Saccharomyces cerevisiae S288C: one gene and its partner. The protein of the gene in region 2 interacts with the protein of the main gene of each other region in a biochemical or structural test. Each region holds a gene or a part of one and is shown on either strand. Other genes may lie near its edges. The genes, in order: MIA40 and TIM9.

What was found.
Region 1: the proteins of TIM9 (region 2) and MIA40 form a complex in vitro, tested with the Saccharomyces cerevisiae proteins (4 studies listed by BioGRID).

What each region holds. Positions count from the first base shown.
Region 1 is NC_001143.9:73,671-77,641, reverse strand, and holds MIA40 (Mia40p), read right to left. Parts: upstream 1,822-3,971; coding exon 610-1,821; downstream 1-609. Other genes in the region: threonine--tRNA ligase MST1, read left to right, coding at 1-384; palmitoyltransferase YKT6, read left to right, coding at 2,108-2,710; PEX1 (AAA family ATPase peroxin 1), read left to right, coding at 3,777-3,971. UniProt on the Saccharomyces cerevisiae protein: Required for the import and folding of small cysteine-containing proteins (small Tim) in the mitochondrial intermembrane space (IMS). Forms a redox cycle with ERV1 that involves a disulfide relay system.
Region 2 is NC_001137.3:115,030-118,075, reverse strand, and holds TIM9 (protein transporter TIM9), read right to left. Parts: upstream 866-3,046; coding exon 602-865; downstream 1-601. Other genes in the region: URA3 (orotidine-5'-phosphate decarboxylase), read right to left, coding at 1,106-1,909; Arf family guanine nucleotide exchange factor GEA2, read right to left, coding at 2,276-3,046. UniProt on the Saccharomyces cerevisiae protein: Mitochondrial intermembrane chaperone that participates in the import and insertion of multi-pass transmembrane proteins into the mitochondrial inner membrane.

The DNA of each region.
Region 1 (3,971 bases), on a different chromosome or scaffold from region 2:
TCTAATGAGGGCCGTTGGCCGTTTTGGTTGAATCCTTACCAAGCTGTAATTATTCCCGTCAATACGAAAAATGTGCAACAGCTAGACATGTGCACTGCCTTGCAGAAAAAACTACGTAATGAACTGGAAGCCGACGACATGGAACCAGTTCCTTTAAATGATTGGCATTTCAATGTTGATCTCGACATAAGAAACGAACCCGTAGGGTATAGGATCAAGTCGGCCATTTTGAAAAACTATTCCTATTTAATTATCGTGGGTGATGAGGAAGTACAGTTACAGAAATACAACATTCGAGAACGTGATAATAGAAAGAGTTTCGAGAAACTTACAATGTCTCAAATTTGGGAAAAATTTATTGAGCTGGAAAAAAACTACAAGTAACTTAAAATATATGACAAACTTGCCCTGTAAATAAAAGGATACGATTTGATGTATAGCTGGATTCATACAGAGACTAGACTCATCCGCCCCACAGATGCATTAATTCATGTATATTTCACATATTATACCATATGTAGTCATTAAACTAAGATAATATTACTGTATTTACATGTATCATCCTTTATACTTTTATACTTTTTACGTTCGGGAGATTTTCAGGAGATTTTAAGGTTTGGATTCCTCATTCAATGGTTCTTTTTTCACATCTGATTGCTCTGCTTTTTTCGCAGCATTTTCCTTTGCGCTTGAAACATTTGGCGCTGATTCTATTGTGTTGACCTTTACTTTGTCTTGAGGTTCCTCATCATCAGATGTTTCCTTTAGTTGTTCTGCATAATGCTCGGGGTATTTTCTGAAACAGTCTTGCATATGTTGAAACTTTTCAACACAGTCGATACCTTTTGGTTCAGCTTCAGAATAGACGAAGCAAGAAAATGCAGATTTGAACTCTTCACCACAGGGTCCATGGGCCATACCTCCCAAGCAAGGACAGTCCCAATTTATCTCACCAGTGTCTGGGTTATAAGCACCTTCGTGTTGAACCTCTTCTTCAGTAGGACCCATTTGCTTTTCCTCTTGTTTTCTTAGTTCTTCTTTCTCTTCATCGCTAGATTCAGATTGCTTAGCTGAATTTTCCGAGTCACTTACAGTTTTTTTTGAGGATTCTTCTTCTCCATTATTATCTTCAGTAGTTGTCTTGTCATCAGATTGTCCCTGTTGCGATTTTTCATCATCTGAATGTTCTGGATCTTTTTTTTCAGAAGATCCAGCATTGTTGTCTAGTGTTTTGTCACTAGTATTTTCTTCCGAGTTCTCAGAACTTATGTTTTCATCCTTTTGATTGTTAGCGGTGGCATTGTCTTCATTGGATTGCTCATCATCTTTGGTTGATACCTTTGATTCATCAGTATCTTTATCTTCGGAAGACTTGTTGTCTTCTTCTGCTAGAACAACCAATTCACCATCTTCAGCTACTTTTGAAGCACCAATTTTATCACCCCCTAATTGAGGGCCAGCTTCAGTTTCATCGTTTTTGCTGTCGTTGTCATCTCCATTTTCATCGCTTTTGCTGTTGTTGTCATCTTCATTTTCTGGTGATTGCTCACCACCACTGGAAAGCTCTTCCTCTGCGGTTTTATCGGATTCTACCTTCCTTGAGGCGAAAAGAGGCTTCCTATTAGGAGCAATAAAATATAAAGCACCAGCCATAGAAAGAATCCCCATTATAAAGCCCGCTGTTTTTTCCTGATTGGAGTTCCTACCGAACTGAGGGGAGGACGCCATGAGACGTCTTGTTTGGTGTCGGCATAACCCCCTTGCCACTTGAATTGACGGCCTGTTTCTGCACGCATTCCTGACGACTAAGTTGCGAAGCATTTTACTGATAATATACACTCTTTGGATCGAGCCTACTTCCAGTTGGTAATTGGTGTTCCACAATTTCAGCATTATATGTTTTTAAACCAAAATTCGGCTCCTTTTCCCTTTTTTTCTTATTGGGTGGCGTGCCGTACAGAACGATTGGCTTGGTGTGAAATCAAGAGCAAGCACAATAGATATCAACATGAACAATATACAAAAGTCTCTGGCACAGTTTGACTGCGTTAGACCAGGCTAGGGCATTTCTGAAGCTTTACGTATCACTAGAGAAGTTATTTTGGCAATGAGAATCTACTACATCGGTGTATTTCGCTCTGGAGGAGAAAAGGCTCTAGAGTTGAGTGAAGTTAAAGACTTGTCACAATTTGGTTTCTTTGAAAGGTCTAGTGTTGGCCAGTTTATGACTTTTTTTGCTGAAACGGTCGCTTCTAGAACTGGTGCAGGACAAAGACAAAGTATAGAAGAAGGCAACTATATTGGCCACGTTTATGCCAGGAGTGAGGGCATATGTGGTGTTTTGATCACCGACAAAGAATATCCTGTCAGACCAGCATACACACTATTAAACAAAATATTGGATGAATATTTAGTCGCACATCCTAAGGAAGAGTGGGCAGATGTGACTGAGACCAATGATGCATTGAAAATGAAGCAACTGGACACTTACATTAGCAAATATCAAGATCCTTCACAGGCTGACGCTATCATGAAAGTTCAACAAGAACTGGATGAGACGAAAATCGTTTTGCACAAAACGATTGAGAATGTTTTACAAAGAGGTGAAAAGTTGGATAATTTGGTGGACAAATCGGAGTCATTAACGGCAAGTTCCAAAATGTTTTATAAGCAAGCTAAAAAATCCAATTCGTGTTGCATCATCATGTAGATGCATCCACACACTATTTTCAGCATAGTGTGGCTTTTCATCTGCTTTATGTAATTTAGAAAGCCAATGACAGCAGCAAGGGAAACAAAAATCTTTTAAATCAAATTAATTGTTTAAATAATATACTATGTAAGCATCGATTCTCCTAACTATTATAACCAAAGGTTGATTTGAAGCCATTGGCATTGTATTAGAATTGATTTGTTTCTTCAGTGTAAAAAAGTTAAAAATAAGCGACCCCAGTGAGGGTTGAACTCACGATCTTGCGATTAACAGTCGCACGCCTTAACCAACTTGGCCATGGAGTCTAATTGCTATATTTTTCTTTTGAAAACAAGATATATAAATAATGCTTGAGCTGGAGCATTTACGTTGTAAATGTATAATTAGTGTAAGAAACCGCTGGGCCCTATTTGTTGATGAAGTATTTACTTAAATGTAACAGAATATACTGGAAGTCCCCCCTCGGGCACATGGAAATTCACTAAAAGGAATTGGTAATGCATATGATATTACTACCGTTTCTCATTTCACTTTATATGCTTTCAGTGATTGTGTTACTACGTGACAGTTCTTACAATTCAGCGCCGTTACTCTCTATGAGTGCTCTCATTATTTATATCATATTCTTACACTTCATACAATTATATATACTCGTACCATGGATATTAGAGGATAGTTGGTTTTTGTTTAAACTAATTCTATGTAACCTCGATGGCATGAGTCCATAATACTGTACTGGCGTATGCCCTTGTTTGTGGTCTTTGTGCAACCATTTCAGGCTTTCTTATTTGCACAGGGCAGTTGCGACCCTGATAAAAAAAAATGGCTGATCAATCGGCGTGGACAAAAAAAAACATCGATTTCTATATTCATGGTAATCTGTCGAATTCTCCAACCAAGTTAGCTGGACTTTATTGTCTTATATCCGATTACTATCGCGATTTATTCTTGTGCGTAGCCGCAATTATAAAGGTCCGGAATATCTCTCCGACTATTGTCATCGTCGAATTTCTTCTGGAAGGGACGGCAGTAACAAGAAACACCTGAGGAACTGCTCTTTCAAATGACGACGACCAAGAGGTTGAAGTTTGAGAATCTGAGAATCCAATTCTCCAATGCCATAGTAGGAAACTTTTTAAGGTTACCGCATTCAATTATAAACGTGTTAGAGTCAACCAACTACGCTATCCAGGAATTCGGTATAGCAGTCCATTCTCATAATTCAGATATACCTATTGTTCATCTTGGATGGGATGGC
Region 2 (3,046 bases):
CTCGCGGCTGGGAACGAAACTCTGGGAGCTGCGATTGGCAGTGGAACAGTGGTAATTCCTACGATTAAGAAACCTGTTTACAGAAGGATCCCCACCTATGGGCGGGTTATCAGATATTATCAGGTGGGAAATTCGGTGGAACACAGTGGAGCCTTGTCCTCCGGGTTAATGTCGCTTTTGGCATTGGCCCCTGCTCCTGAGAGAAGAAATATACTGGGGAACCAGTCTTTACCGACCGTTGTTATCAGAAATTCACGGAGTTCGGCCTAGGTCGGACTCCGATGGGAACGGCAACGGTTGTTCCGTTTGACTTGTCGCCCGCTACGGCGTGAGCGTCAAGGTCTGTTGAGTGCAATCGTAGGACGTCATTAGTGGCGAACCCGATACCGATTACTGCTGCTGTTCCAGCCCATATCCAACTTCCAATTTAATCTTTCTTTTTTAATTTTCACTTATTTGCGATACAGAAAGAAAAAAGCGATAGTAACTATTGAATTTTGTTTGGATTTGGTTAGATTAGATATGGTTTCTCTTTATATTTACATGCTAAAAATGGGCTACACCAGAGATACATAATTAGATATATATACGCCAGTACACCTTATCGGCCCAAGCCTTGTCCCAAGGCAGCGTTTTGTTCTTGGAAACGCTGCCCTACACGTTCGCTATGCTTCAAGAACTTTTCTGAGCACTTCATGATGCATGTTTGTTCCTTATTGGTTAGCTTTGATGTTGTGAAGTCATTGACACAGTCTGTGAAACATCTTTCTACCAGATTAGAGTACAAACGCATGAAATCCTTCATTTGCTTTTGTTCCACTACTTTTTGGAACTCTTGTTGTTCTTTGGAGTTCAATGCGTCCATCTTTACAGTCCTGTCTTATTGTTCTTGATTTGTGCCCCGTAAAATACTGTTACTTGGTTCTGGCGAGGTATTGGATAGTTCCTTTTTATAAAGGCCATGAAGCTTTTTCTTTCCAATTTTTTTTTTTTCGTCATTATAGAAATCATTACGACCGAGATTCCCGGGTAATAACTGATATAATTAAATTGAAGCTCTAATTTGTGAGTTTAGTATACATGCATTTACTTATAATACAGTTTTTTAGTTTTGCTGGCCGCATCTTCTCAAATATGCTTCCCAGCCTGCTTTTCTGTAACGTTCACCCTCTACCTTAGCATCCCTTCCCTTTGCAAATAGTCCTCTTCCAACAATAATAATGTCAGATCCTGTAGAGACCACATCATCCACGGTTCTATACTGTTGACCCAATGCGTCTCCCTTGTCATCTAAACCCACACCGGGTGTCATAATCAACCAATCGTAACCTTCATCTCTTCCACCCATGTCTCTTTGAGCAATAAAGCCGATAACAAAATCTTTGTCGCTCTTCGCAATGTCAACAGTACCCTTAGTATATTCTCCAGTAGCTAGGGAGCCCTTGCATGACAATTCTGCTAACATCAAAAGGCCTCTAGGTTCCTTTGTTACTTCTTCCGCCGCCTGCTTCAAACCGCTAACAATACCTGGGCCCACCACACCGTGTGCATTCGTAATGTCTGCCCATTCTGCTATTCTGTATACACCCGCAGAGTACTGCAATTTGACTGTATTACCAATGTCAGCAAATTTTCTGTCTTCGAAGAGTAAAAAATTGTACTTGGCGGATAATGCCTTTAGCGGCTTAACTGTGCCCTCCATGGAAAAATCAGTCAAGATATCCACATGTGTTTTTAGTAAACAAATTTTGGGACCTAATGCTTCAACTAACTCCAGTAATTCCTTGGTGGTACGAACATCCAATGAAGCACACAAGTTTGTTTGCTTTTCGTGCATGATATTAAATAGCTTGGCAGCAACAGGACTAGGATGAGTAGCAGCACGTTCCTTATATGTAGCTTTCGACATGATTTATCTTCGTTTCCTGCAGGTTTTTGTTCTGTGCAGTTGGGTTAAGAATACTGGGCAATTTCATGTTTCTTCAACACCACATATGCGTATATATACCAATCTAAGTCTGTGCTCCTTCCTTCGTTCTTCCTTCTGCTCGGAGATTACCGAATCAAAAAAATTTCAAAGAAACCGGAATCAAAAAAAAGAACAAAAAAAAAAAAGATGAATTGAAAAGCTTTATGGACCCTGAAACCACAGCCACATTAACCTTCTTTGATGGTCAAAACTTATCCTTCACCATAAATATGCCTCGCAAAAAAGGTAATTAACATATATAGAATTACATTATTTATGAAATATCATCACTATCTCTTAGCATCTTTAATCCTTTTCTACATCAGATAACTTCGGTTTGTTATCATCGTCTGTATTGTCATCAATTGGCGCAGTAGCCTCAATTTCAACGTCGTTTGACTCTGGTGTTTGTTCATGTGCAGATCCATGAGATGATGAACCGTTGCCCTTCTCAATACTCTTCTTATCAAGTATTAATTGCTGTAGCTTTTTTTCAATATCTGAGTCCTCTACAAATTTATTGAAAATACTCAAAATTTTCAAAAACGTTTCGTTGCTTGTCTTCCCTAGTTTCAAATAATGCAAATAAACATTTGAAATTATTGTTAATATGGATGAAATGAGGATTTTCTGGTCTTCCTGTGTTTCACTCGAATTTAGCAACGGTAGTAATCCGCCCTCAATTAATTCTTCTACCGATTCCATCTCATTAGTTGGAATTTCGATTTTATTGATGAGCGTCTGCTCTAGCGTTACCACTGCAAATTCACTTATCTGCTTACACGGATTGATGCATTGATGTGCCAAAGCTTGAATAATAGCGAATATCTCGTTTTTACGCAGATCGTTATTATCTTCCAGCAAGTGTGATGTTAGTTGAATGGATTTCAATGATAATTCGATCGATTTCTTGTATGGATTCTCCTTATCAATTTTATGACCACTTTCTGTCAATTTCTTGTATTCTATTTCCCAGTGATTTCCAACGGCACCCATTGATGAAATTTCATCTAATAGTCCTAGGACCCACATGAAGTTCTCATTTGTCAAAATATTGCTGTCTGTCTTGATCGATTC